Pelodiscus sinensis: one gene and its partners. The protein of the gene in region 4 interacts with the protein of the main gene of each other region in a biochemical or structural test. Links are inferred from orthologs where the notes say so. Each region holds a gene or a part of one and is shown on either strand. Other genes may lie near its edges. The genes, in order: NXF1, NUP88, NUP155 and NUP98.

The links.
Region 1: the proteins of NUP98 (region 4) and NXF1 form a complex in vitro, tested with the Homo sapiens proteins (5 studies listed by BioGRID and IntAct). The link is inferred for Pelodiscus sinensis from reciprocal best matches to the Homo sapiens genes NUP98 and NXF1.
Region 2: the proteins of NUP98 (region 4) and NUP88 form a complex in vitro, tested with the Homo sapiens proteins (2 studies listed by BioGRID). The link is inferred for Pelodiscus sinensis from reciprocal best matches to the Homo sapiens genes NUP98 and NUP88.
Region 3: the proteins of NUP98 (region 4) and NUP155 form a complex in vitro, tested with the Homo sapiens proteins (2 studies listed by BioGRID). The link is inferred for Pelodiscus sinensis from reciprocal best matches to the Homo sapiens genes NUP98 and NUP155.

Annotation. Positions count from the first base shown.
Region 1 is NC_134721.1:36,439,796-36,447,232, reverse strand, and holds the start of NXF1 (nuclear RNA export factor 1), read left to right. Parts: upstream 1-4,317; 5' UTR 4,318-4,461; coding exon 4,462-4,492; intron 4,493-4,952; coding exon 4,953-5,154; intron 5,155-5,519; coding exon 5,520-5,685; intron 5,686-7,270; coding exon 7,271-7,354; intron 7,355-7,437.
Region 2 is NC_134731.1:25,946,755-25,954,461, reverse strand, and holds the start of NUP88 (nuclear pore complex protein Nup88), read right to left. Parts: upstream 3,127-7,707; 5' UTR 3,090-3,126; coding exon 2,891-3,089; intron 2,785-2,890; coding exon 2,753-2,784; intron 539-2,752; exon of another isoform or gene 1-538. Other genes in the region: RPAIN (RPA-interacting protein), read left to right, coding at 3,218-3,295, 4,543-4,689, 5,356-5,419, 6,325-6,439, 7,044-7,107, 7,568-7,702. UniProt on the Homo sapiens protein: Component of nuclear pore complex.
Region 3 is NC_134716.1:105,219,687-105,227,435, forward strand, and holds the start of NUP155 (nuclear pore complex protein Nup155), read left to right. Parts: upstream 1-4,549; 5' UTR 4,550-4,623; coding exon 4,624-4,759; intron 4,760-5,420; exon of another isoform or gene 5,421-5,440; intron 5,441-6,825; coding exon 6,826-6,963; intron 6,964-7,749. Other genes in the region: WDR70 (WD repeat-containing protein 70), read right to left, coding at 66-128, 4,403-4,442.
Region 4 is NC_134711.1:325,796,329-325,803,830, reverse strand, and holds the start of NUP98 (nuclear pore complex protein Nup98-Nup96), read left to right. Parts: upstream 1-4,215; 5' UTR 4,216-4,372; intron 4,373-7,502. UniProt on the Homo sapiens protein: Plays a role in the nuclear pore complex (NPC) assembly and/or maintenance. NUP98 and NUP96 are involved in the bidirectional transport across the NPC. May anchor NUP153 and TPR to the NPC.

The DNA of each region.
Region 1 (7,437 bases), on a different chromosome or scaffold from region 4:
TGTGACTGGGCAACAAAAAAAAAATTAAAAATTAATGGAGATTGCCTATCTCCTAGAACTGGAAGGGACCTTGAAAGGTCATCAAGTCCAGTCCCCTGCCTTCACAGCAGGACCAAGTACCATCCTGACAAATTTTTGCCCCAAATCCCTAAATGGCCTCTACAAGGATTGAATTTACAACTCTGGGTTTAGCAGGCCAATGCTCAAACCACTGAGCTATCCCTCCCCCAAATGAATTGGCAAAATGGCAAATGAATTTTAATCTTGGTAATGCCTATTGGAAAAATAATCCCAAATTATATGTACAAAATGATGGTAACTAAATTAGCTATTTCCACTCGAGAGAGAGATCTTGGAGTCACTGTGGCTCATTCTCTGAAAACATCACTCAATATGCAGCATCAGTCACAAAAGCAAACAATGTTAGGAATCGTTAAAAAAGGGATAGAGAATGAGCCAGATAATATCTACCGCTCTGCTCTGCACTGATTAGGCCTCAGTTGGAGTATTGTGTCTAATTCAGGGCACCACATTTTAAGAAAGATGTGGAGAAATTGGAGAGTGTATAAAGAAGAGCAACAAAAATGCTTAAAGGTCTAGAGAACATGAGTCATGAGGGAAGACTGAAAGAACTGGGTCTTAGTTTGGAAAAGAGAAGATTGAGAGGGGATATGTTAGCACAGCTGAGGCCAACCTGAGTCCGGCCTTGCTGCCCAGGTCAGCACAGGGAGCCAGGAGAGGACTGTTTTTTGGGGTGGCTTTCAAGTCATGGGTGGGTGGGTGTTTTGTGAGCCACATCCAGCAGGGCTGGACTGAGGCATGGGCGAGCTGGGCAGCTGCCCGGGGCGTCAACTGATGAGGGGCACCTGATGGCAGCTGTAAGGGGCGCGCAGCATCACTTACAGCTGCCATCAGGCGCCGCGTGCCCGGCTCCCGCAGCACTGGCCCTGCAGAGCCGGCCAGCAGTGCCCTTCCCCCCACGGCCGCGGGGCCCTGCACGGCCCAGCACGCGTGCCAGCAACGCTGGCTGGGCCGGGCTGGGCAGCACATGTGCCCCGGGGGCAGGCCTGCGCACCTTGGGGGGGTGGGGCCGTGCGCCTGGGCCCAGGGCACCAAAAGGGCTCAGGCTGGCCCTGCTGGGCAGGGGAGCTCTCCAGAGCAGCCATGAAAGCTGCAGAAATAAAGATGGTGGAAGGCAGCAGGAGCCTGCTGTGGCCAAGAAACCTCAAAATGCATTTAAATGCAGTTTCTTAAAGGGGCAGAGCCTTATTTAGACTTTTTTTGTCTTGTTTTGCTCGACAGCTTTGCTCCGGTTCTTTGTGCTGGATCCACTGCTATCTTGCCTCTTTGCCCAGAATGAGTTGGCCACCCCTGTGTTAGCAATTTTCAAGTACCTACAAGGGTGTAATGAGTAGGGAGAGACATTTTTCTCCTTGACCTCTGATGATAGGACAAGAAGCAATGGGCTTAAATTGCAACAAGAGAGGTTTAGGATGGACATTGGGGTGCATCTACACTGCACCGTTATTTCGAGATAACTAGAGTTATTTCGAAATAACAATGTGTCTACACAGCCATTCCATTATTTTGAAATAACAGACACCTTATTCCGAAATCTGAAAACCTCATCCTATGAGGAATAATGGCTATTCTGAAATAGCTATTTTGAAATAAGACATGTGTAGATGCTTACATGCTCCACTGCTGCTATTTTGAAATAGCCCCTCACCAGGGCCATTCTAGGTTATTCTTCCCCAGTGCCTCTTGCAGCTCTAAATCGAGATAGCACGTCTACATTAGGGAAGCCGGCCTTGGACTCATTTTGAGGCTTCCCTGCAGTGTAAACTTGCTATTTCGAAACTATTGCTTATTTCAAAACAAAGTGTGCAGTGTAGACGTACCTTAGAAAAAACTTCCTTTCAGGATGGTTAAACACTGGAATAAATTGCCTAGGGAGGTTATGGAATCTCTATCATTGGAGACATTCAAGAGCAGGTTAGATAGACATCTATCGGAAATGATTCTTAAATCAGGGCTACTCAACACGTGAGCCACTTGCAGCACATTCCCCATTTGAGGCCTGCGATGTAGTTTGGGTTTACGCAGAGCTCAACATTGACCCGTAAGTGGGATGCTTTGAACATGGCCTCCACTGGGAACATGCTCCACGATGGCGAGGCATCTCAGGCAGGGTGAGCATCGAAGCATGCAAGCAGATGGGCTGGCTGGAACTGACTGGTACAGGGTGTTGGCATTTCTAGCCCCCAGGAAGAGGTGCTGGGAGCATTGGGGCATTGTGGGAAGTGCTGGCTGCTTAACCTTGTCGGCAGAGCCTGAGAAGTGCAGACTGGCTCACACTGACCATGTTTGGGTCCAGCACCATGGCTTAAGGCTTAATCTTTGTATTCATGCCTATCAGTGTGAAATAAGCTATTTGCATATCTATTTGCATGTATATGCAACCACACTTAAGTTGCAGCTCTCGGCATGTGCTGTGAGTATCAATGTGGCCCCCGGGGCTTCCAAAGTTGAGTAGCCCTGATCTAGATGATATTTGATCCTTCTGGGAGTACAGGAGACTGTACTTGATGACCTCTCAAGGTCCCTTCCTGTTCTAGTATTCTATGAATCCATGAGGCTACCACATCTGTACACCCACATTTTGAATACTGTGTGCAGATGTGGTAGCCTCATCTTAAAAAAGATACCTTGACATTAGAAAAAGTTCAAAAAAAGGGCAACAAAAATTATTAGTTGTTTGGAATGGCTGCCATATGAAGAGAGATTAAAAAGACTGGGCCTTTTCATCTTAGAAAAGAGAAGACTAAGCAAGGGGGATACAATAGAGGTGTATAAAATCATGACTTGTGTGGAGAAAGTAAATAAGGAAAAGTTACCTACTTTTCCCCATAACTCAAGAACTAGGGGTCACCAATTGAAATTAATAGGTAGCAGGTTTAAAACAAAAGGAAGCATTTCTTCACACAGCACAGAGTCATCCTTTGGAACGCCTTGCCAGAGGATGTTGTGAAGACAAGTACTTTAACGGGTTCAAAAAAGAACTAGATAAATTCATGGAAAATAGGTTCATCAATGGCTATTAGCTAGACTGGGTAGGAAAGGTGTCCCTAGTCTCTGTCAGAGGCTAGGGCGGGGTGACAGGGGAGGGATCACTTGATGACTACTTATTCTGTTCATTCTGTCTGGGGCACCTGGCATTGGCCACTGTTGGAAGACAGGATTCTGGGCTAGGTGGACCATTGATCTAACCCAGTATGGCTGCTCTTGTGTTCTTAAAAAAATCATGAATTTCCTTCCATAAAAATCACCAGATTTCTATTTTATAAAATCATTTTTGGGCTCTGATAATGATTTTCATCTTTTCTCTCCAAACATGGGGGCTAGAAACCTTAGGGTAATGTTAAAATGAAACCTGTGGTTTCTACTTGATCTCCTGCCTCCAGGGACTGAGGGTGAAATGGCAAGTGGAGAAAGGGTTGACTTTGTACTTGCTCATCCTGGGAGCACGTATCTTAATTTTGGCACACAGCACTGGAGATAGGCTGCTTCTGCCACCCCTCACACCTTTCTACACCTCCTTTGCCCCTGAAGCTGGATTTGACTGCTAGAATAGCATCCCTCTGATATACATCAGCCCCAGCACAAGAAGAGCACAGGGCAAGCAGGATCTTCTGCCACAGTTGAGGCCCCCTGGGAGCGTGTGTGTCTTGCAGTGCAAGGAGGGGAAGGAATAATAATAACACTCCTGGCTGCTGAAACTGGGTGCCTGCACTGGGGTTAATCCCGGGGACTGAGGCAGATGGTGGCTGCTGCAACCACCAAATGTAGACCAGGATCCCCAGTGAAACTTGAACCCAGGACCTTAGGGATGGGGGAAGGAAGAGGAGCAAAGGCAGATAATGAGATAGAAGGGGTCGCTCTGTCACATTCTTTGTTCAGATGCAACTTGAACGCAGATTCCCCTGCGGGGGGGGAGGGTCCTGGCGGTCGCTGCAGGACAGATTCGAACCCGCGGCCTAAGAAGAACTCCGTCCCTGGGAACCCATCCTTCCAGCAGCTACCGCCCTGCAATGCAAGGGGGCGCTTGGCTAGTATGCGCAGCCCAGCTTTCTCAACCGCGTTGAGAGGTCGGGCTTTTCTGAGCATGCGTAATAGCTCCGCCTCCTCGGAAGCAAATAAGGGGAGGCGTAACTCGGCGCACGCGTATCTTCTCAACGGAAAGTGTCGGACGCCCTGTACTCATGAGCTGCTGAACTACGCATGCGCAATGCCTTCGGTTGTCCCACCCACCGCATGCGCACCTTCCGGGAGCTGTTTACGCATGCGCTGGGGCAGCGGAGCCGAGCGGTGGAATCGGTTGCCTGGTTCCCCCCGCTCGGCTAAGTAGGAGATTTTCCTTCCCCTCCCCCGCCCAGGAGCGGCGCGCGAAGCCCCCCCTCGATGGCAGAGGAAGGGAAAGGGGGCTACAGCGGTGAGGGGGCTGGTGACGCGGGTCGGGGAGGGCTGTGGCTGAGGCCTGTGGACACTCGTGGGGGTGGTGTCTGTGGGGGCGGAGCCATGGGGTCCGGCGGGGAGGGGGTCTGAGGGCGGGGTGGGGAGGAGGCTGGGGTGGGTTCTGGGGGGTCTGTGGAGTCTCGGGGGGGGTGCTGCATGGGGCTAGTCTGTTGGGATCTGGCTTCCCTATTTCTGGGAGCCTCCCCGGTCCCCCCCCCGTTTCCCAGCCCAGGGGCTCTGGGGGGATGGGTGCAGTCGAAGGGCTGGGGGGAGGGGCCCTGTGGTGGCAATAGGCAGATCAGTAGGATTTCCTCATCTCTACTGATGCAGGGCCCAAGAGGGTCCAGGGGTTCCTGTAGGTGGTTTGCCATGTGTTGAGCATTCAAGGAGGAAAGTTCCTGGATGGTGTCTGATGCCCCTTCTGCTCCTCTGAACAGAACATGACGACCGTGTGGGTGGTGGGGGCTTCTCTGGGAGAAGGAGAAAAGGCCGGGGCCCGTTCCGAGGCAAGATGTACAGTGAAGTGAACCACCGTTCTTGGAACCGAGGTGTAGCAGGTCATAGTCCTTCTGGTCAGGTGGAGGAGAGTGATGGAGATGTTCCCATGAGTGACGCCCATGACAGCCTTCGAACTAGATAGTGAGTAAGAAGTGCTGTTGGCATTGTGTGTGGTGGAGTGCCTCGGGGTGTTGGGATGCCAGTTTTAGTCAGGTCCCAAGGGCGGGGGGGAGCTGGTTGGTGGCGGGAGGGAAGGAATGGGATATGGGGCTTTTCCCTCCAGGTGGCATTAGCAGCATTTTAGCCCTTGATTGGGTACTAGGGAAAGCTATGTTGTTCCTGTGTTGGGGATAAGTGGGGCCTGTGTGTCTGGGGACTGCTGTAGACATTTCATCCCAATGCAGCGAGGACCACAGGGTTCAAGCAGGTGTTTCTGGATTCATTAGCTTTCAAAGTATCCTCCCCATCCTTTTAATGTTAACAGCTTGTGTCCCTCTGCTTCCCAGTGCTCCCTATGGGCCACGGCTGAACAGGCGAGGTGATGATTGGCACAACCGGGGCCGGGGAGGTGCCACCAACATCCATGTCACAGTGAAACAAGAGCCCACTTCCCAGGACCGGGGTGCCAGTGCTATTCGCAACAGTAACCGGAGGAGGTGGTACAAGGTCACAGTGAGTGCCAGAGGGTGAGGGAGGGAGCAGGGAATGTGGCCAAATCCCTACCCCACAGCCTGTTAACCTGGTGCAGTAAGATCAGGGTCTAAAGTATAAGCCACAGGCCTATTATAAGGCCTGAGGCTTGACCTACAATAATCAAGATTTTGCTAATATAAATAAAGCAAAGTTAATCTGTGAGCAAAAGGCAGGTCCAAGCCGTAAAACACTAATTGATATTAGGCACAGGCTGGAAGCACATTTCAGAGGGATAGTAACAGGACATCTTGTTAAAAATCTTGGTACCAACACACTCCCCACAGATAACAGGGACATTCTGACCCAGGTTCAATGAAGGGTCTAAATTGACAGCATGATGGCTAGAGATGTTTTTGATCGAGCCACCAGATGCAAGGTAATGGGTGGTACCTAGGTAATGACAGCGGGTGTCAACCAGATACATCAGTAGTGGTGGGTAACTTGTTTGTACCTGTGTATAAAGATGTGTCTTGGTGGGGCTGTCTCTGTCCTGCCTAGGAGGCAGTGGGACCTCCCATTAATTGAACTCTGAGTTCATTGTGAGGGTGTACACATGTGTAGTGGTTTAATAAAGTCTATGGATAATTATTATTGTATTTTGTTTGACAATAAACCTGGCCTGGTGTCTTTGATCCTTATTGGATTTTGTGGTCTTTGGGAGCTCTCTTGGAGTCTGCTGTCCTGGCTACCTGTGCAGAGTAGGGATGTGAAAGGTTAACTGGTAGGCATCACCATTAACAGGTGATGCTTACCAGTTCTAGTTAACTAGTGGGGGCTGGAGCCCTGTCTGTGGCAGGTCTGGGCACATCGCAGGCATGGGGCAGCTCTGGCCGTGGCAAGGGCCTGGGTGTGTGTGTGGGCTGAAGTGCCCCTCACCTTAATTGATGAACTAGTTAAACTTCACATTTTAAATCCATAGTGCAGAGTCAGTGCAGCATACAGCGGGGAGCATATGCTTGCACCGAATGATTATCATCATTGAATGTAATAGAACCGGGGCAGGGAACCTCTTTTGGGTCAGGAGCTACTGACCCACAGTAAAATCAGTCGGGGGCAGCACACAAGTGAGAAGCAAAAAAACCCAACCATCCCAAAACCAAATCTCACTGATGTGGCCCCTGATTGAGGAGGAGAAAAAGACACTTCCCATATTCCCCTCGCACACCAGAGCCTTGTGGGGCCCAGGCTAGTAGATTTGTGCACTTTGGCCTCATGGGGAGGCAGCAGGGGGCTGGAGCGCCAGCATAGGCTCTGGATCCAGGCAAGCTGGGTGCCACATCCAGCCCCTGTGTCTTAGGTTCTCCACCCCTGGAGTAGAATAACTATCAGGACACCCCACCTCACCTTTGCATGGACACTCTGACTTAATTTGTGAAGGGGGCACAATGTCCAGTTGGTTGCCAGGTATCTGGCCAGCAGGCAGCTCTCTGGCTGAGAGGAGAGATGGACCCTGTTGCCCATTGGTTGATGCACCCATGGGACTGTTCCCAGAGACCTCCTTTGCTCCCAGTCCTATAGTTTGCTGCAAGCTTACATGCCACTTACAAGTGCCTTTTTTTCCTAGATTCCCTATGGAAAGAAGTATGAAAAGTCATGGCTTCTGAGCTCTCTCCAGAACATGTCCGCTGTCCCCTTTACTCCAGTGGAGGTGAGAGCTGCACTGTGATATCTGTCTAGGGAGACAGATTCAGAACTGGATTCTATCCTGTTTCTTGGAAGGGGATCAGGGAG
Region 2 (7,707 bases), on a different chromosome or scaffold from region 4:
TTTGCTGCCTCTGTACTGGAGACAGCAAAGGGTGGGGGGGGGGGGGCAGAAAAAGTCGGTTTCCCCCCAGCACTATCTCCATGGTGCGGTGCTCCTCCCCCCACAGCTGCCTCTAATAACAGAGGCAGCAGCCCGGGGTGAGGCAGGCGGCACCAGGGAGATAGCTGTGGGGAAGCTCCGGCAGCAGCCCGTCTATGTAGGGTCTCAGCTCAGCTGATGCCGGGTCTGGGACCAAGCCCTGCTGCAGCTCTGTAATTTAAAATACAGTAGGAACTGGGCAGCCTGCCCACCTGGCTCTGACCACATTTGAAATGCAGAGGTCCTGCACGCTGTTGGGCTGTCTGTGAGCAGCCCAGGTGGGAGCAAAGACAGTGAAGCATGTGACGCCCCCAATGTTACAGGTCAGATCGTGTGGCCCATCAGACTGACACCCTGCCTAGTAATGGCCTAGCCCCCCCCGCTGCATTGCCCTCCTCAAGTCCCACCCGATCCAGCCGAGCCCTCCCGCCGGGTATCACACTCCCCTGCCCAGAAACTGGTACCAGCCCAATGGACTCTGCACCAGTCTCATGCCCTCCCCCGCAACTGGTACCAACCCGGCCCCCTGGGCTTCTCCCCACACAGACACATCCCCCACTGCCCAGTACCTGATACCAGCCCAGCCCCATGGGCTCCATACAACCTCAGACTCCTCCCCGACCCCCCCCCCCCGGTACCTGGTACCGGCCCAGCCCCGCAGCCCCCCCGCCCCTCAGACCCCCCCCGGTACCTGGTACCGGCCCAGCCCCGCGGCCCCCCCGCCCCTCAGACCCCCCCCGGTACCTGGTACCGGCCCAGCCCCGCGGCCCCCCGCCCCTCAGACCCCCCCCGGTACCTGGTACCGGCCCAGCCCCGCGGCCCCCCGCCCCTCAGACACCCCCCCGGTACCTGGTACCGGCCCAGCCCCGCGGGCCCCCCGCCCCTCAGACCCCCCCCGGGACCTGGTACCGGCCCAGCCCCGCGGGCCCCCCGCCCCTCAGACCCCCCCCCGGTACCTGGTACCGGCCCAGCCCCGCGGGCCCCCCGCCCCTCAGACCCCCCCCGGTACCTGGTACCGGCCCAGCCCCGCGGGCCCCCCGCCCCTCAGACCCCCCCCGGTACCTGGTACCGGCCCAGCCCCGCGGCCCCCCGCCCCTCAGACCCCCCCCCGGTACCTGGTACCGGCCCAGCCCCGCGGCCCCCCGCCCCTCAGACACCCCCCCGGTACCTGGTACCGGCCCAGCCCCGCGGGCCCCCCGCCCCTCAGACCCCCCCCGGTACCTGGTACCGGCCCAGCCCCGCGGGCCCCCCGCCCCTCAGACCCCCCCCCGGTACCTGGTACCGGCCCAGCCCCGCGGGCCCCCCGCCCCTCAGACCCCCCCCGGTACCTGGTACCGGCCCAGCCCCGCGGGCCCCCCGCCCCTCAGACCCCCCCCGGTACCTGGTACCGGCCCAGCCCCGCGGGCCCCCCGCCCCTCAGACCCCCCCCGGTACCTGGTACCGGCCCAGCCCCGCGGCCCCCCGCCCCTCAGACCCCCCCCGGTACCTGGTACCGGCCCAGCCCCGCGGGCCCCCCGCCCCTCAGACCCCCCCCGGTACCTGGTACCGGCCCAGCCCCGCGGCCCCCCCGCCGCTCAGGCCCCCCCCCGGTACCCGGTACCGGCCCAGCCCCGCGGCCCCCCCGCCCCTCAGACCCCCCCCCGGTACCCGGTACCGGCCCAGCCCCGCGGCCCCCCGCCCCTCAGGCCCCCCCGGTACCCGGTACCGGCCCAGCCCCGCGGCCCCCCCGCCCCTCAGACCCCCCCGGTACCCGGTACCGGCCCAGCCCCGCGGCCCCCCCGCCCCTCAGACCCCCCCCCGGTACCCGGTACCGGCCCAGCCCCGCGGCCCCCCCGCCCCTCAGACCCCCCCGGTACCCGGTACCGGCCCAGCCCCGCGGCCCCCCCGCCCCTCAGATCCCCCCGGTACCCGGTACCGGCCCAGCCCCGCGGCCCCCCCGCCCCTCAGACCCCCCCGGTACCCGGTACCGGCCCAGCCCCGCGGCCCCCCCGCCCCTCAGACCCCCCCGGTACCCGGTACCGGCCCAGCCCCGCGGCCCCCCCGCCCCTCAGACCCCCCCGGTACCCGGTACCGGCCCAGCCCCGCGGCCCCCCCGCCCCTCAGACCCCCCCGGTACCTGGTACCGGCCCAGCCCCGCGGCCCCCCGCCCCTCAGACCCCCCCCGGTACCTGGTACCGGCCCAGCCCCGCGGCCCCCCGCCCCTCAGACCCCCCCCGGTACCTGGTACCGGCCCAGCCCCGCGGCCCCCCCGCCCCTCAGACCCCCCCCGGTACCTGGTACCGGCCCAGCCCCGCGGCCCCCCCGCCCCTCAGACCCCCCCGGTACCTGGTACCGGCCCAGCCCCGCGGCCCCCCCCGCCCCTCAGACCCCCCCCGGTACCTGGTACCGGCCCAGCCCCGCGGCCCCCCTGCCGCTCAGGCCCCCCCCCGGTACCTGGTACCGGCCCAGCCCCCCCCCAGTACCTGGTACCGGCCCAGCCCCGCGGCCCCCCCGCCGCTCAGACCCCCCCCCGGTACCTGGTACCGGCCCAGCCCCGCGGCCCCCCGCCTCTCAGACCCCCCCCGGTACCTGGTACCGGCCCAGCCCCGCGGCCCCCCCGCCCCTCAGACCCCCCCCGGTACCTGGTACCGGCCCAGCCCCGCGGCCCCCCCCGCCCCTCAGACCCCCCCGGTACCTGGTACCGGCCCAGCCCCGCGGCCCCCCCGCCTCTCAGACCCCCCCCGGTACCTGGTACCGGCCCAGCCCCGCGGCCCCCCGCCCCTCAGACCCCCCCCGGTACCTGGTACCGGCCCAGCCCCGCGGCCCCCCCCGCCGCTCAGGCCCCGCAGGCTGAGGGTGAAGAAGGCGCCGCGCTCCGCCTCCCACAGGAACAGGTCCGCGCCCAGCCCGAAGAGCAGGCTGCGGGCGGGCCCGGGGTCGGGCCCGGGGGCGCCCCGCTCGCGCAGCCGGCACAGCACGGCGTGGTGCGGCAGCGCCGCCCGCCACTCGCCCGCCGGGTCCTCCGCCGCCATCGCGCCACCCCGGAACAGCGCCGGCCGCCGCCAGCCAATCAGCGCGCCGGGCGCCTCGGAACTACCGCTCCCAGCGCGCCCCGCGCGGGACTACAAGTCCCAGCGCGCCCCACGGCCAGGCTGGCGGCATGGAGGCGCCGGGGCAGCAGCGCCGCGCTCTCTACAAGGGGCCCGCAGCCCCGCCCTGGAAGGAGACCTACCGCCGGGTGAGCGCCGCCCCGTAGAACGCGGGGGAGCCCGGCGTTCGGGCCCTGGATACATTGTAACGATTTCCCCGCCCCGGACTCCTCTAGCCCCCTGGGTAGCAGCGAGCGGGCAAAATGAGGCAGGAGGCACCTGCCTGCGCTCAAGCCTCAAACATCAGGGCTGCCCCACTAACACCGGGTCCCCCTGTCTGCCAGGGCTGGATGCAGTAGAAGGGGGGGGGCTCCACTTGGCATGGCCCCCTGTTTTGCCAGCTACTGCTGGCAGGAGCGAGCCCGGTGGCAGGATTGCTGTGCTCACCGGCTGGGAAGTGGGTGGGGAGACCTGCTAAGCTATTAATGGCATTCCTGTTAAGTACGCTTTGCACCATCTTCCAGCCAGAGAAACAGGGCTTCTATCAAGTGTAGGAATCGAATCCAAGTGGTCTAGCTACCCAGGCCAAAGCTTACACATTATGTCTCCCTAACACCATTTTCAAACAGATATGAGTTGGTCAATGCTTAATTTCAATGGCACCCTGAAAATTATACAGAAGGAAGAGTTGCATGTTAACCTGTGTGTCTTAGTGGCAGTGGGGTGGGAGGGGAGCTATTCTGGTTGGCTGGCTGCCCAAATCTCCTGAAGCTCTGTAGGGTTCCAAAATAAGTTTCCTAGGTTTTTCTAGCCAGTAGGATAACTTTGAGAAATAAATATTGTGAGGCTCTGATTTAATCTCAGTTCTCCTACACCCTTACCACCAACTGCAGATTATTAAAGGGGCGGGGGGAGGGGGAGGGGAGAATATATACAGCTGGCTGATGGTAAAACAAATAATGTCTAGCCAGAAGAAGCCAAAGAATTGCCAGCCAAGTATGTATCTGAACACACGTGAGGGTGAATATAGTAAAATACCATACAAATTTGGTCCCTATATGTTAAAGACTGGGTAGAAAATACAGACCTTTTCCCCCATCTTACCTTCTGCCTGGAGAACTGGGATCCCATCTGCCCAGCCAAATTGAATTGCTCTTGGTCTCCTGTAGTCCTGTCTGCTAATGGTCTAGGAGCCTGACTAGGTCTCTGGTTCCATCCAGCTGGCTGGTGGGGCTTCCCCAAACCATGTTGGTATTACAATCCTATAATTGTTCCGTTTTCTTCAGTTATGTCTGTGAGCTATAAAATCGCAGCATCTGGTTGCCCTGTAGTCCAGCTGAAAGAAAAGACATGATGCTAATGTATCCTGCATCATTTATTTTCTCTTTTCTCAAAGCGCTGTGTGGAGAGACTTAAAAACAGTCGTGCCAAGCTGCTGGATCGATATCGCCAGGCTGGGGAGAATGTGCATTGCAATGCCAGGGGTGCTCTGGTGCAGGAAGTGATGGAGGAGGAGTGGCAGGCTTTGCAGGCGCTGTCTCAGGTCAGTGTGCTGGATTCTTGCACATCATCTCAGATCTGCCCTATACACAGCTTCCCTGCCTACCAATGTTACAAACTGCATCTCCATCCTCAACCATTCAGGAGCTTCAGGGGGTAGCTGAGAGAGTCTGTTACAGAAAAAAACAGCAAGCAAATGGTCTGGTAGGACTTTATAGACTAACAAAACACATAGATGGTATTATGAGCTTTCGTGGGCACAGTCCACTTCTTCAGATGACCGGAGTTAACTGCTTGCTGTTTTTATCCTCAACCATGAGATTCTTGTGACTTTTGGGTGATGGTTTTTGTGCCTGATTTTGAAAGATTAGTGTTATTTGTCTAGTAGTTTCTTGGCATGGGGATAAAATGCTGAGGTTTGACCTTAACAGGGAGAGGGGGCAGAATTTGCTACCTTGTCCATGCACAAACAGCTGTTTCACAGAGGAGGGGAAACTGGTCAAAGGAGTCTGGAAACCTCTGCTTGCTAACTGCAAACAAATGATGCAAATTCAGGAAACTGTCATTGCAAAGTCAGCACAGTCATGTGTTTGATTACACTGGATTGTTTGTGTATTTCAAAACAATACTGTCCTGTTGGTGCTATGAAATAATGCCCCCCGTCCCCCACTTGCCTAATGAGAGGAATACTGATTGATGTACATTTCAGGTGTGGGAGGACCCTGATGAACAAGCAGTACTGGAGGAAATCCAGCAAGAGTTGATTTTGCAAGGTAAATTTTCAAAAAAAAATTACATCTTGACCTGTTAATAGACCTAACCTGAGTCATTTTTAACCTTCCTGAAATCCTTGTCATCCATTTATTTGAAGCCGGACTTTCTTCTTGGCTCAGAAATCTCATGCTTCCAAAAGATTCTTTTTAAAAGTCTATGATCTCAGATGCTTTGGGATCCTGGCAGGTGGCTGGTTGTGATTGGAGATGTAACAAAGCAATGCTACCAAAGAATTGGGAATTAAATCATGGGATGTGGAAAGTGCCAACAAAGGACATGAGTTTTAGCTTCCTTCTGAAGGGTTGGAAGGCCAATTGCTGGATAAGCAAATTTTCAAAAATGCTCCAGTATTTCCATTAAGAATAGAAAATGTGAAGGTTATCTCTGATATGAAATAAGAGTTCCTGAACCCTGATAATATATAAAGTATTTGATTTATGGCTGTCTCACCCTAATTTGACTTTCCCATGAGGAATCATTGACCACATGACAATCCTGATTGCACACACATCCTCTCTTGTATCCTCTGAAATAATCTGAGCATAGGACTGGGATCCAGAAGCTTCAGGCTTAGACACTCTTTGACCTTGGGCAAATCACAATCCATGTTTCCCCATCTATAAGATAGGGAGATGTAAGGTGCGGTTGATTAATGCTTGTAAACTACTTTGAGATCTTTAAATGGAAGATATAATGGGCAGAATTAGGTTAGCATCCTCTTTTCAGTGGGCATCATGAGTAAAAAATTAAGTCAGAATTCCCTAAAGAAAAACAAGTTAGAAATACTGACAAACCCAGTATTTCTCAAATCCAGCTCTCTGAATAGCCATAACAATTTTATCTTGACAAGTGTCTTAAGCCAGTAGCCAGTGACAGCTGGTTTTTGTTTTCTGGGCTTGAACAGAGCAGTTGACCATACAAGAGTATGAACGGAGTCTACAGTTTGACCAGGAGTGCTTCAATGCAATCCTTGACGGCTTGGACACAGGCAGCAAGATTACCTGTCCAGTGTGTAAAAGGTGAGACGGGTTCCTATCACTACATGCTGTATGTTAACTACCTTACCCTCCAGTAGACCTTCTGAATTCAGCCAAGTATGTAATGATGTTCTCAAAGCCTAAACATTTTAATGCATTCATTTCTAGCAACTGTTGATTGGCTGATGAAATCTGGCTTCATTCATTCTTGCTGTAATAAGAGGTTTATGGATCTCTTCACTTAACACTGGTATGCAGCCCGCTGTGGAACTCAATACGCTTTTTAACAGCAATATTCTGTAAGACGAGCAGCTCCCTTATGTTTTGTGCAAAGTGTGATTTGTACACTGCAGCTTTATGCCTCTCTTAAAGCTTGCTATAAGAGATTCTGAAGATAAAAAAATCCATAAGTAGTACAGGGGATTCTGCATTGAGATGATAGCCATCCTCTGTCTGGAGACAGTTTGGCCTCTTCCTTGAGGAAAAAAATCAGACCTCTTTCTCTAGTAAGGGTTTGATTGTAACAACTGTTCAAGAGGCACAAATCCTGTGGGAGATGCTTCTAACATCTAATTTCAGGCCTGATAGAATTCAATGTTCTCTTCTCCTTTAGGGGTGTCTAACTCATGCTTTGTTCTGTTTCTAGGAATCATCTGACTGTGACAAGTCACTTGGTTTTATGCCAGTGTGGATTATACATCAGCACACAGGTAAACTCTACCTGAAGTGTTGTAGTTCCTTAGTTCTGGGCAAAGTTGCCCTTCTTTCAAATGTTGCTGATGTCGGTCATTCATGTTTTCATGCCCCCGTCTTGGTCCTCTTGCACGTGCTTAATGGAAAGGTGGCTCAACAGAGCTGTTTTCAAACTGTGGTTTGTAGAGCCCATCCTAGAAGTATGCTGAATGGAATGGTTGTAAAACTAAGCAGCAGGGGAGTGGGAGCAGATATGGCCCTATGTAATCTCACTCATCTAAGCATCATGTTAAAAAAAACCACACCTGAGAAAACCCCATGTAGGGAAAGCTTGCATCTGAAGTAAATAATCTACCATATGAGCTGTGTAGTCAGAAATGCTAGTTCTGAGAGTTAGGTAAACTTGCTGCAAAACTACTGCTCAGAAAATCCTCTTTAAAAACACAAGATGAGTTTCTTCATCTATTTCTGTCTCAGGGTATGACAGAACAGAAGCTCCGGTCACTTCTAGAAGACAGTGTAACAGAACATGGTCATCAGTGTCTTCACAATCCTGAGTTCTCCATCACTAGTGGAATGGACGGAGAAGCCAATCTTTTCATGAGCTGTCCGGTGAG
Region 3 (7,749 bases), on a different chromosome or scaffold from region 4:
CAAGGTGCATCTCTCCAACACACAGACAGAGCCTTCTTTGCTCTTCCCAGAAGCCCTGGACTCACCAAAGCCAGAGAAGCCCATCGTGGATGCGAGCTCCGGATCAAGTCCTGTCACCAATTCCACATCTATAAGGGAATAGAGTGATTAGCATCAGCTATGTTTAGCACCCACCGTTCTGGCACCTCTCCCATAGCAGTCACTCCTTGGCATCTGCTCCTAGCTACTCCTTGTTGCAGGATTGAAGATGCACTAGGAATCAAAACAGGAGCCACTGCCACCAGCAGCACATGAAGAGGAGATCTGCCAGGAGTTGATTGGCCCAGCTACCATACACAGAGGCTACGTCTACACTGGCCCCTTTTTCGGAAGGGGCATGCTAATTTTGAAAGTGGGAATAGGGAAATCCGCGGGGGATTTAAATATCCCTCACGGATTTAAATAAACATGTCCGCCGCTTTTTTTCTGGCTTGGGGAAAAGCCGGAAAAAAAGCGTCGAGACTGGCCCGATCCTCCGGAATAAAGCCCTATTCCGGAGGATCTCTTATTCCTACTTCCTCCTTTGAAAAAGGGGCCAGTGTAGACGTAGCCAGAGACTTCCAAAAGCACCAAAGGACTCTCACAGCAGTCCCTGTGAGTTGTGCACTTGTGTAACTGCTCAGGCAAGATTTAAATGATGCCCAACTGATTAGCAGTGTCCACAGCTAGGTTAGCTAGGTTCATGTTTCTCCTAGTGGTGCACATAAATGCATTCTGCTCATGGATGGAAAAAAAAATCTGCACATGAATTGAAAAGATTAGCAGGAACATTGCTCTCCTAAGCCTTAGCCCTTGAGAAGCAGCTCTACTGAAGAAACAGCTGCACACAATGTCACAGCCACAGAGACAGTGCTCGATGGACTACAATCTCTGCCTTTGCGATAGCACCCAAGCAGGCTGCTGTTTACCCAGCCAAACTCATTACCCCCTCCATGTCCCCAAGTTATCCTTTATAATACCCCTTCCCCAATATAACTCCTGCATTTACAAGTCCTTGGCATCATCCTCCCTAATCAGGTTCTGAAGCTGGGCTAGCTGAAGAGAACTCAATCTAAATGTTTCCAGCTAACAAAGGTACAAATATAGGTTCAAGATTTGGGAAACTTGCACTCTAACAGATACTACAATGATTCTCTGAGGCACCAGCTAGCTCAGACAAATTCTTCCATCCTCTTAGCTGTGAATAAACTGGGGAGTGGGTCATCAAAACTACATAGTACCGGGCATCAAATTTTTCACAGTCCTGAGAGATGTAACTAGGTCTACCTGAGCAGACCAGGTCTGTGTTCAAAGGGACTGGGTTATAAAGTGTATGGTCTAAGATTTCCAATAGAGTTTAAGGGAGACAGATGCCAAGTATAGGAGATGTAGTGAAAGCCCAAAAATTTCAGTGGGCAGGACATGTTAGGAAGACTGACAAACTGAGCATCTCTTGGAAGACATCCTTACAGTTTCCAACACTGTGACTGGTCAAGGAGAAGATGGAGGGAATTAACATTGTACAAGACCTAACAGCCCTTAATGTACCAATGTGTTGACAGAAAGAGGGAGAAATGTGTTGACAGAAAGAGGTGAGTTGAAGCCCTCACTTTAACTCCAAACTTCTGACCCAGCCCTGAGCCCCTCATCCTCAGCCCTACCCTAGTGTACACCCCAGTGCATTCCAACTCTCTGAACTCTCCCACGGGCTTAACTTCTCCGCCCACCTCTCTCCTCCACAGTTGTGTTACATGCACCAGTAAGAAGGAGATGTGTCAGATATCACCACCATACTGGTGCACAATACAAAATTCATTCTGCATGTGTAGGAAAAATTAGAGGGTCATCATCTAATGTTTAGAGTCATCATCCCACATTAAACAGTTTTAGGAGTTGGTACACAAAGAACTTAGCCTGATTAGTACAATAGCAAATATTAAAAATTTTAACCTTTCATTTAGATACTGGAAAAAGAGAAACAGCTAAAATATTTGAAATATCAAGTACAGTATTAAGACTTTCATTTTAAGTACAATTTAGAATGTTCATATCCTCCTTCCCCTCCACCCCCCCATAATTTTTTAACTGTGATTTTTTTAAAAAGACCTCAAAAACTTATCACTTTTTAAAGTTTTGCTTATAATTAAGATTAATTTCTAGACCCAATTATTACGATAGCACTAGGAATGTTAAATATCAGTTAACTGAATAGACAAGTAACAGCATGAATTCTTATTGGTTACTCGACTATTCTATAGTCTGCAGGGGCAGGGCCAGGAGCCAGTGCTCTCCAGCCCCACTCCTAAGGGACACCCTGCTAACCCATGCTGCTGCCTCTGTATCAGAAGCAACAGTGCAGGGTGCCAGGTGGGAGCTGGTCCATGAGGGGAGCCAGTTTAAAAGTCATCTCCTCTCGTAGAACGGCTGCCTGTTTCCCCATGCTTCTACCTATGATACAGAGCCAGCAGCGCAAAATGGCAGCAGATCCTGTCCAGGCGGGGTGGAGCTGAGCTACTGGACCCAGGATGAGCCGGAACTGAGCCAAGCTGCCTGCTCACCTAGCTCCTAATACACTTTAAAGGCAGAGCCACAGCAAGGGGTAGGTCCTGGACAGTCACAAGCCAGGACTGATCCAGGCTGCTAGCCACCCTTCTAAAAATGTACTGGCATGGGAGGTGGGGAATGAAAGTAGTCTCTATAGCATTAACCAATAAGCTTTTGCTTATCGGTTAATCAATTACAGTATTACATCCCTAGACAGCACTTAGCTCTCAAAGTTAGAATTTTTCAAAGCTTACTTATGTCTTAATTAATGTATTATAATTCCTTTGATAAGAGTCCCACAGTTTCATAGCCCTGTGTTAACTTTTTCCCATTTATCATCTTCTAGTTAAGGGAAGAATAGTCTTGGAATAAAGGCATTAACTTGTGATTCAGGAAATGTAAAATCAGTTCCCAGCTCTGCCACAGACGTCATGCATGACTTAGGGCCCCACCAGATGTATGGTCCAGTTGGTCAATTTCATAGGTTTTTAAAAAGCAGTAAACTATTATTTCAACTATTTAAACCTGAACTTTCACAATTGTGTAATTTTAGGGAATCTGACTCAAAGGAATCGTGTGGGGGAAGAAGAGACAGGTCCGCTAGGTTATTATGAGGCAGGGGGGAGGGGAAGAGGAAGGAGAACAACAACACTGCTACCCATACTTCTGCTGCGCTGCCTTCAGAACTTGTCAGCTGTAGAACGGTGGCTGCAGGCCAAGCGCCCCATTGGAGAGATAAGGATGGCATGGTAAAATACTACCATCCTTTCTGCACTGCTGCTTGACACCCACCTCTGAAGATGGGATTACAGAATTAAAAGTAGTATGGCATAGTAGTGCCACCTTTACTCATGGGCTGCTGCTCACAGCTGCTGCTCTCCAGCAGCCCAGATCTGAAAGCCATGCAGAAATAAGAGTCTCAAAACTCTAAACTCACCCCCCCCCCACACATTGTGAACTCTTACAGCAGTGTTTCTTAAACTATGTTCCGCAAAACACTGGTGTTCCGTGAACAACTCACAGGTGTGCTGCAAATTCTTCTTTGTTTTTGTCTTCTTCTGTCTGACAACAATTTTTTTTGAAGAAAATGTTCATAGGTGTTCCGCATTAAAAAAATATATATATTATTGTTCAGCGTTCTGTGGTCTCAAAAAGTTTAAGGAACACTGCCTTACAACAACTCCTTTTTGTGCGAGGGCCACCAAGTTGAGGAACACTGGTCTCTCCTATGAAAAACATGTAATATGTAGGAGAAGAGAGGGAAGATGGGAACACACAGAAGAACAGATTTCACAGCGCAGGATGAATTTGTCATGGCCGTGAACTTCGTAGGGGCCTATGGACAAGTTTATTAATTTCTCAGTGCCTTAGTTTGCTCACAAACACCACAAGGGATGAGAGTCCCTTGCTCATCTCTTAGCACGAGTACTGAAAAGTAGGCTAAAGAAAACGTCTTGTTGTGTGTATGCAGAGTGCCTGGCACCACAGGGTTCCAATCTCCTAGCACGAGCGATAGAAATAACAGCCATGTGGCCGCACCTTAAAGCCTCCAAGCCGCGTACTTCAGCAGGTACGAACAATACACTGCGGACTCCTGTCACAGACTCCTGACACCTCTCCCGGTTGAGCACAGCTCAGCCTTCCGGCTGAGAGCCGGGGCACATCTGCGGGAGAGCCACGGGGCGGAGGAAGGCCCAGTGACGCCGCGGGGGAGCCCGTCGCGGGGTCTAAGCGCAGGTGGGCATCGGGGGACAACGCGACCCAAGAGGATGAGAGTTCCCGAGCCCTGCTCCCCCCGCCCTGGGCTCTCGGGGCGTCCTCCTCCGCCTTCCCCACTCACAGGACGCCTCGGCCGCCCCACCGGCCTCCTCTGCTTCCATCGCCGGATCTTCGACTGCCCACTCGGCTCCGCGGCCACCAATTTAAACTTAACCCTTGCCTGCGGGGCGCCCCCCCCCACCGGAAGTGAGTGTCCGTGAGGCGGAAGTGCGTCAGACGCTCCGCCGCGCTGGCTGTTGGGGTTTGGCGCGGTCCTGTCCCTGTCTCAGGCCGCTACTCGCGATGCCCGTGGCCATGAGCCCGGCCACCCCGGCCTTGCAGGAGGCGCTGGAGAACGCGGGCCGCATCATCGACCGTCAGATCCAGGATGATCGCTGCTACCCCGACCTGTCCGAGCTGCTGGCGGTGCCGGCGCCCGGTGAGGAGCCCTGCGGGCCCGCTCGCCGCTCTGGTCCCCAGCCCAGCGCTTCCCCCTCCCCTCCACGGACGGGTCGGCGCCCCCGGCTCATCCCCCTCGGGACTCGGTGTCCGCGCGCTACCCCTAGGCCTTTTCGTGGCGGGGGGGGGGCATCTGCTTGGGGGCAGCCGTGCCAGAGCGCCAGCGCCCTCCCCCTGTGCGCGCCTCTGCTGCCTTCTTCCTGGCACTAGCGCCCCACGGGCAGACACCTCCTAGCCAGACCGGCAGCGCGTGGAGCACTGGCAACTCCAGGGTCCCCAGCCCCTGTGAGGAGTCGTTCAGATTATGGTTGTGGAAATGCTTTGCCTGGGCTCGCTCATTGCGTGGTGTCTGAGCCAGAGCCTGAACAGCATATGCCTTGCACCTTTATAGCCCTGTAGCTATAGCCCAAGCACTATGAGCCGATGTCAGTTGACGTAGGGTGTTCTGTTGCATTGTAGATATATCCTATGAGCTTCTTTATTGTCCACAGGTGATTAAGGATAGCACTGACACTAAGAAATTGCCAAATAATTCCTGAACGGTTGCCTTAAAGTTACCTTGTTGATTGCCCATATATTCTCCATGTATGTTGAGAATTTGCCTCCTTTTGTGTTTCAGTTCAGTTACCTTTGATGAGTTATATTTCTGCCTTGTCAGGAGGTCAGTATATTAATTAAGTTAAAACACTCTCGCTACGTCTACACTGGCATGATTTTCCAGAAATGCTTTTAATGGAAAAGTTTTCCGTTAAAAGCATTTTCGGAAAAGAGCATCTAGATTGGCATGGACACTTTTCCGCAAAAGCACTTTTTGCGGAAAAGGGTCCGCGCCAATCTAGACACGGTTTTGCACAAAAAAGCCCCGATCGCTATTTTAGCCATCGGGGCTTTTTTGCGCAAAACAGTACTGTGCTGTCTACACTGGCCCTCTTGCGCAAATGATTTGCGCAAGAAGGCTTTTGCCCGAACGGGAGCAGCACAGTATTTCCGCAAGAACACTGACGATCTTACATGAGATCGCCAGTGATCTTGCGGAAATTCAAGCGGCCAGTGTAGACAGTTGACAAGTTTTTCCGCAAAAGCAGATGATTTTGCGGAAAAACTTGCCAGTCTTGACACAGCCCTATCAATACTTTTAAATGATCCTATAGTAAGTAATGGCACTGGGATTGATTCCAGTAAAAAAAGGAGTAAATGCCTCCAAAGAGGGTAATCAAATAAAAAAGGCCATGATCTTTCCACTTTTTGTGCATAGGCAGATGATACACATCTTTTTTACTCTTTAAGAACACACTTTTTGAAAACTTGTTTCACTAACATAGAGCATAAACTAATGTACAACAATTTTAAAATGAAAACATGTCAGAAGTTAGTGAACTGTCAAATAGGTAACCAAAGGAAAAGCAAGACCATGTTTACGAAGCTTAATAGAGAATCATTTTTCTTGGCCTGATAAGATTCTTCTCACAAAAGAGACTCTTGTTGACTTCAGCCTAACTTCCTTTTGTTGCCAGGAAAAACAATATTTCAAATGTAAACTTGAGTATTTATAATAAATAGAGGGGACTGTATTTCACTTGTATTATACCACTGTAGTATGTGAACAGTTATTGAGAGCCTTTAGGATGGAAGGTGCTATAAGCATATTTATTAGATTTTTAAAGCCAATCCACCAATTTTAGGAGTACAGTGAATGTTGTATTTGTTTTATTTATATAAAGTTTATATTCGAGATAAGGCTTTAAAGACTTGCTTTTAAAATTGTGAAAAGTCACTCATTTAAAAATGCTTTATACATATTTTGAATGAGCTGTTGTACTCTTAGTGCTGTGGTTTGAGAACTTTATAGTTTGTCCATTTATCTGAAATAATCCACCAAAATTAAGAGGAATTTATACTAGTCTAATTTAGATTTAATAAATATGAATGCTTGCTAATTCAGATATTGGGGCAGGGGAAATCTATTATCATGTACGTGTTATTTTTTGGCTGATATCTTGTTTTACATATGACATTTTAAAGTGTATTTCCTTTTTTTAATTGCAGGTAGTCCCACAGTTTCTGGTATGTCAGATATGGATTATCCTTTGCAAGGACCTGGTTTGCTCTCAATACCCAATCTTCCAGAGATAAGTTCAATCCGCAGAGTCCCACTTCCTCCTGAGCTAGTGGAGCAATTTGGACGTATCCTAATAAAAACCACATATTTCTTTGTGTGTATAATAATGTTATAAATGAATGTTTGTTATTTCATAATATTTTGACCAAGATTCTTCAAGTACCTTTCCCTGGATGTATTCTTATCCGTCATTGGAGTCCATAGGACTCTTAAGAGGTAAAGTTATTTCAGCAATCAGCAACTACGTGTAATTTTGATACTCAATGCCAGTTGGGTATTATTATCATAATGATCTTAATACATTTAAAGGGGTCTTCATAAGTTACTGGTAAAATTTAAATGTTTTTAACATCAAGTGGAATAACGAAGTGTTTTTAGGGTTGTCAAACAATTTAAAAAAACATGTCAGATTTAAAAATAGTTGTGATTAATTGCAGTGTTAAAAATAGAATACCAGTCATTAAAATATTTTTGGATGTTGCCTACTTCTGTGCCATGCATGTCACATGATGCTTACCCGGCAGCTAAATTCTGGCTCCATGCTGTCACATGAGGTCTACATCTTGCCAAAGCCCAGGGCCATTCCGCAGCCCACTGGATACTTCTGGCTCACCTGGGGCACCGTATCAGATTTTGGTTTGTGTGAGATTGTGTGTTGTGAGTGTATTAGCGTGATGTGCAACAGTCTCAGCACACTAAAGGCACATCTACATAGCAGGGCTACACTCGAAATAAGCTACGCAACTTGAGCAACGCTAATTGCATAGTTTAAGTCGCAATAGCTTATTTTGACTTTTGGCACTGTCAACACAGCTGTTATTTCAAAATAGAGCACTCTTCCCCTGACTTCC
Region 4 (7,502 bases):
GTTAGTTGGGTTTCTGGCTGGTATCATGAAGGAAGCAGCCTAGGCAACGGGCTGGGATTTAGGGGCCCAGGCTCCCCCATCTCAAGGGGGGGCTGAGGCATCCTAGGTCTGCCCTGTAACCAGATTACATATGTGCTGTGCTGTATCCTGGAGAAGCAATAAACTCTCTCTATTCTACTGGCTGGTGGAGTCTGTCTGTGCCATTACGGGGGTGCAGGAGACGGGAAAACCCCGACGCGCCATCACACTAATACTTTAACGCAAAAACTTTTGCGTTAAAAGTATTTGTGCAAAATCATGCCAGTGTAGACGTAGCCCAAAAGTATAAAATTAGTGCTTTTTATGCCAGATCTCTGATGCTCCCGCTCAGGAAGAAGCCCTTTTGTGCAATAGCTCTTTTAGAAGGCTGTGTCTACACTGGTGCAATCTTGCACAAAAGCAGCCGCTTTCGCGCCAAAACATGCTGCCTGTCTACACTAGCCGCATGTTCTTGCGCAAGAACACTGACATTCTAATGTATGAAATCAGTGCTTCTTGCGCAAGAACTATGATGCTCCTGCTCAGGAATAAGCCCTTTTGCGCAATTGTTCTTGCGCAAGAGGCCAGTGTAGATAGGCAACATGAATTTCTTGCGCAAGAAAGCCCTGTGGTTAAAATGGCCATCAGAGCTTTCTTGGCAAGAGAGCGTCTACACTGGCATGGATGCTCTTGGGCAAAAGCACATCTCTTGCGCAAAAGCACATGCCAGTGTAGACCCTCTCTTCTGGAAGAGTTTTTGCACAAGAACTCTTCCGCAAAAGAGTTCTTGCGCAAGAAGCTGCCCGTGTAGACATAGCCTGGCAGCTTCTTGCGCAAGAACTCTTTTGCGGAAGAGTTCTTGTGCAAAAACTCTTGCACAAGAGAGCTTTTGCGCAAGAGCATCCATGGCAGTGTAGACGCTCTCTTGCGCAAGAAAGATCTGATGGCCATTTTAACCATAGGGCTTTCTTGCGCAAGGAATTCATGTGGCCTGTCTACACTGGCCTCTTCTGGAAGAGCTCTTGCGCAAGAGGGCTTCTTCCTGAGAGGGAGCGTCAGAGTTCTCGCGCAAGAAGCCCTGATTTTCTACAGTACAATGTCAGTTTACTTGCGCAAGAACATGTGGCCAGTGTAGACAGGTGGCATATTTTTGTGCAAGAGAGGCCATTTTCACGCAAGTACGCGCCAGTGTAGACACAGCCCTTCGTTTTAAGGACAGACCTAAAGCAGACTCCATGACGACTCTTTTTGCTAATCCAATGGAAGCTGGAATCCTTTGCCAGTCGAGGTGGTGGCTAAAGAGTTGAAATCACTAAGAGCTGAAATCACTGGTTTGGCTGGGAGCCAGACCCATTGCAGCCAGTGAAGCAGTGGGCGGCTAGTAGGACCTGAAGCGGCCAGTGGAGTGGCTGGTGGAAACGACTGGCAGGCGGCCGGTAGGAACAGCGGCAGGCGACCAGCGGAGCGTCCGGTGGAGTGGAACGAGACAGCTGGTGGAGCGGCTCGCGTTAAAGACTGCAGCAGAACCCTACGGAGAGGTGGGGCCGTTAGCTTCGGACCATGTAAGATGCCACTATCTATCTCCTTGCCCCCATTTCCACCCAGGTTGGGAGGTAAAACCCTGCAGGTGACCTTTTGGACTCTACGTGGCACTGAGCAGGGACAGAGACTTTTGGGGTGTCGGACTTTGGGACTTCGGGTGATTCTTGGCTGGAGTGGGGCTTAGCTCACGTTTGGGCTGTGAACTCTGTTTGTGGTATTTTTCCAAGTTAATGCCGTATGACTTCTCTCTCTCTTTCATTAAATGTTTCTTTCCTACACTCAGACTCTATGCTTGCGAGTGGGGAAGCATTGTCTCTCAGAGGTGCCCAGGGGTGTGTGAATTTCCCAGGTTACTGAGTGGGGGCTCGAGCCGGTTCTGTGTGAGATGGACCCCTAGATATTGAACCCAGCCCCGGTTGTTGCCGGGCCTACCTGGCAGAAGAGTTACACATGCATCACCCTGCACCTCATGGTTCAATTAGAATATCTCTATCCGTTATGCTGTCATTTTAGCCCATTTCCTGAACCTGAGTTGGTATCTGTCGGGAGTGTGTGGGTACGAAGATCCTTTTTAAGGAGGTGTTGTTACCATCCTTCCTGAATGTGCTTTCAACTTATGTCTAGTACCAATTACTGTTTTACATCTTGTAACTAGTGCCAATTACTGTTCTACACCTGTGCTTATTACTAATTAGTTTTTTACACTCTTGGCCTTGTTGTTGCCAAGTTCTGTGAGCAGGAGCCTGCCTCTTGCTCACAACTTCGCTTTGCTTGATATTAGCAAGGTCTTAACCATTGTTACTCAGGTCTCAAACAGTCCTTAATTAATAGACCTGCTTACGGAGGCTCTGATGTTACCAACATTTCCAGCCATGTACAAAGATTGAATCAGGACCCCAGCATATTTTTGGGGGGCCCAGTACAAACTTGTAACATGGGCCCTCTCCCACACAAATACCACAATTTGTAGCCTGAGCTAGGCCCCTCTTGGCCTCCAGACCCTAGTTAAGTATATCTTTCCCCTCCCGTCCCCATGTGAGGGTGAATTCTTCCCTCTTGCAAACCACAATCCTCCTTCCAAGTTCCATGCAGATTACTATATATTTCAAACAAAAGATTGGGGGTTGGGACTGGGTGTTCCCAGGCTGTGCCACTGACTCACTATGTGAGACCTTGAGTAGGTAACTTCTCTGCACCATGTCTCAGTGTCCCCAGCTCTGAAATAAGATTAGTAATACCAAAGAAAACAGTATAAAATCTGGTGGTGCACATATGCACATGCCTCAGTGCACATAACATTTATTCCACATACAGATGGGAAAAATCTACCCATGGATGGAAAAGATTAGAGGGGACGTTAGTGAGGTAGTATCTTTTATTGGACCAAGCTGGTCTGACCTTGCCTTCTAATATCTTGGGATCAATATGACTATCACAACACTTGCATTAGTTCACAAACACCATTATTTTGCTCAGCACACAGTGAAAAGCAGGTGGGGCCCCTGTTCCAAGAAGCTGAGAATATAAAGAACTCCCTCCTGCAAGCTTTTATGCACAGTTAACTTTACCAGGTGTAGCCCCATTGAAATCAAACCTGTTTAGCCACTTTTGCGGTTGAGGCTTATTTGTTTTTGCAAAAATAGCTCTGGCAGGGGCATTGCATTACAGGGCTTCCTTGGAAAGGCAGCACAAGTCAGTGACTAGATGTGGTAGTGTGCTGAGGCTATGGGAAGGCAGCACAGGCTGAGGTTGCAATGGGGAAGGTAATGAAGGCCAGAGGCTAGGGTGTGGGTTTGGCTGAGTGGGAAGCAGTAGGAGGGGTTCTCCTTATCCATATGCAGAATACGCGGCCGTGAAGGGCACCTGAAAATTTGGGGCACCACTTAGTCTTAATGTTCACCCACTTGTCTCTTCCCATCCTTGTTCTGTGGCTCTGCTTTCTCAGGAGAGGATCTAGTTGACTTAAAAGTGAAAAAGCCTGCCAGAGCGATTAGCACAACACGGAGCCTATCCAAGTGGTAATGAAGACATCGAACCAGTTGTGTTAGTCTGCAGGAGCTTAGTTTAAAATCTGTTTTAAAAGTATTTCACGAGAGAGTTGCTGGAGATTATAAAATCACATCTCTACAAAAATCATCATCCCCGCTGCAGAGGGGCACCAGTGTAATAGTACTGCCCTGGGGCCTATGACTCCTAAGGGAGAGTCTGGTAGCAGGGCTGGGGCAGTGCCCACTGTGGGGCAGGCCAGGGACAGGGACACACAAGGGGAGCTGCTGGCTGGTTACTTTGGAAGGCACCCGGACCACGTGGCCCATGTCTTTTCCCCAAGAAAACACAGGCCCAGCCCCGGTTGCCATGGTAACGTGGTGCTGCCGTGTGATTGGCGGGCGCAGGATTAAGCCCCTCCTCTTTCCCCGCCCTTTAGAGAGGTGACTCAATGACCCGGATGTGGGGAAGAGCGCCGCTGGAAGAGGACGGAGTCTGGGCCAACCGCTCTCATGTTGACCAATGAGAACTCGTGTCGCTCGTGACGTTCGAAACGTCCCCTTCGCCAATCAGCGGAGGCAGCCAGGCGGAGGCGGGACCTGCCTCGGTTTCAAACGGCGGCAGCCAATAGGCGGACGGAACGGCGGGCTACGCGGGCCAATAGGGCGCGCGGGGAGGCGGGGCGCGGCGGCGGGAGGTGGGAGCGCGAGCGGAGTGTGACGCAGTTTCCCCTCCTGTGAGGCGACGGCGGACGGGTGGGCGTCGTGGCGGTGCCGTTTGCTGTCGGCGCGGTCGAGTCGCTCCCGTCGCGGGGCCCGGGTCCTCGGTAAGGCGCGGGCGGGGCCGCGCGGCCTCTCCAGCGGAGCCCGGCGCTTTTCTGCCGCTCGCGGCTCGCCCCAGGCCGCCGCGCAGGCCGCGCGCCTCGCTTCCTCCCGCCCGGGGCTGGTCTCCAGGGGGGCGCGAGGCCTCCCCGCGCGCTCCGGCCTGGCGCGTGGGGGCTGCCCAGGTTGCTGCGTGCCCGAGTGCGCGCGCGCGCTGCTGAGCCCGGGGGGGGCTCCCTGGGGGCACAGGATAGGCGCGTGGGGGAGGGATGGTGGCAGGGCTGTCTCCTCTCCTCCCCCCCCAGAGCGCGGCGGGCTTGGCGGTGACCCCCTTAGGGCGGCCCGGGGTTTGTCTTTGGGGTGCCCCATGGTCGGGATGCGCCTGGTGATGGGCACCCTCCCGAAGTGGGGGGGGGGGCGTTACTTTTGGGGGGGGGGTCGAGGCGGGCGACTCCCCAGAGTGAGGTGTGTGGATGGTGCAGTGGTGTATTATTAATAGTCTCGTGGCAGGCAGTGTGTCCGGTGAAAACAGCTTGAGTTTCACCGTCTGCTGACATAGTCAATGGGAGGGCAGCGCTAGGACTTCTCTCTCTGAACTCTGAATTCTCTTCCCTTCCCACCCCCCAATCAGCCAGGATGGTTTGGAGACTATTAATTATCCCTTTGTGTTGGGCTCTGTTGGGGAGACTAGCCTCATATTTCAGATGCTATTGTGTTTTTGGATGTTCCAGAGGTAAGAGTATAGTAGACTTCTGATAATCCAGAACCTATGGGACCTAGGTGGTGCCAGATTATTGGATATGCTGGACTATCAGGAGGTACTATAAGATGGTTGTGTGTGTGTGTGTGTATATACACACACACACACACACACACACATAGTATACATTATATACTGTATATAAAGTGTTCTTAACCCTTTTTATTGTACAGACTGTATACTGTAATGTTTTAGTTTTTTTTAAGCCTTTTTTTACCCTTTTTGCTCAGTTCAGCTGCTGCTGCTGTTACCTTGTAACTCATTTTTTGCCGAAGCTCATTCATTAGGCTCTTGCCATTTTGATGCCGGACTATCAGGAGTACCGGACTATTGGATGCTGGACTGTTGGAGTTTTACTGTAATTTTGTAGCACGAGTGAGATGGGGAACTTCCAGCAAGGCCCTGGAAATCATTTAAGATTTAATGTGCTTGGTGTCATAAAAGATACAAAAATAAACTCTTAGCCAATAGTGACTTGTGTAGTAAAAATTCCTAACTGTCAGGGTGGTCAAATATTGGAATAAATTGCCAAGGGAGGTGGTGGAATCTCCCTCTCTGGAGATATTTAAGAGCAGGTTAGATAGACATCTGTCAGGGATGGTGTAGACGGAGCTTGATCCTGCCTTGAGGGCGGGGGGCTGGACTCTATGACCTCTTGAGGTCCCTTCCAGTCCTATTATTCTATGATTCTATGATTAAAGCTACAGATGGGATGCGGTGGGAGATAGGGAAGGAATACAACTTTTTCTTCTCTTTAGCTGCTCACTAGTTAAGAATGGTACTATAACTTTTAAACAAGGAAGAAGAATTACATGGAAGGGTGGATTAATGTTCATCTAAGAGAAGATTTAGTTAGGTTTAGATACAAGAATACTTTTAAGGGAGGATGGGGAAAGTCGGTTATCTCCAACTCCTGCTGAAGGGAGCCTGGTTTAAAAATGAAAATTGATAGATTACAGGCAGTCCCCGAGTTAGGTGGATCCGACTTACATTGGATCCGCAGTTACGAACGGGGTTTGCTGCCTGTCTCCCTGGTCTCCTCTGCCTCGGGCTTCCTGTAGTCAGCGCTGGTCAGTTTCAGCAGCGGCTGAATCAGGACGCCTGGGGCAGAGCAGCTTGGGTGCTGCTGGGTTGGTCCAGTAGCGCCGAGGAGCGGCGCTACTGGAGCAACCCAGCAGCACCCAAACAGCTCTGCCCCAGGCGTCCCCAAGTCAGCCGCTGCTGAAACTGACCAGCGCTGACTACAGGAAGCCCGAGGCAGAGTTGCTCTGCCCCGGGCTTCCTGGAATCGGCCGCTGATCAGTTTCAGCAGCAGCTGACTTGGGGACGCCTGGGGTTCTTAAGTTGAATCTGTATGTAAGAACTGGTGTCCAGATTCAGCCTGTTGAAACTGATCAGCTGGCTGATTCCAGGAAGCCCGGGGCAGAGCAACTCTGCCTCGGGCTTCCTGTAGTCAGCGCAGGTCAGTTTCAGCAGCGGCTGAATCTGGATGCCAGTTCCGACTTACATACAGATTCAACTTAAGAACAAACCTACAGTCCCTATCTTGTACGTAACCTGGGGACTGCCTGTAGTTGTATGTTAGCAGAAGCTGAGAAGCCCTTCGGTTAGATAAACTGAAGGTATCTTAGTAGTAGAGGAAGCTACTGCATTCGGTGCAAGGGAGAATTGGAAAGACAAGTGTCAAGAGACCTCAGATGGCAATGGTCTCTTGACAATGGTAGCAGTCACCTGTAAGCCATACGGGGAAAGAGAAGTTAAATCATAGAAGCGGATGCAGCACTTTTGATTGTCAGTGTATGGGAACTATGGCAAAACTTAACTATCAGGTCAATAGAAAGTAAACATACTTTATTTTCAATGTATAATGAGGAAAAATAACAAGGATATACAGGTTGAACCTGTGGTCCGGGACACTCTGGCTCGGCAGAATCCATAGACTACGGTTTGAGGTGGCTAGGGAAGGGGGAGTGGGTCTCAGGGCACCTGCTGGAACCCCTTGGGCCGGGGCAGCAGTGGCAGGTAGCTTGTGTGCCTCCTGCCTTCTCCCTTCACTGGTCTGGAAAACCCTTGTCTGAGACGGGTCAGCTGTACCAGGGAGGTCCAATCTGTACTACTAGCCTTTGTCTCTAGCCTAGTTGGAACAAGGCAAAAATCTGCTAACAGTAATTGATTTCAACTAAATTCAGAGAAATTGGTTGACTGACTCAGGAACATGGTTGGAAGCTGCAGGTTTGTTTTGTTTTTTCAAACTAGAAAAGATAATTGGCAGGGCTCGACAAATGCGCTCGCCCGTGGTGAGTAGATTTTGCCAGCTGGCAAGTGCAGGGGCGGACTGGCCCGGTGAGCGGTTGTGACGGGCTGGCCGAAGCCCA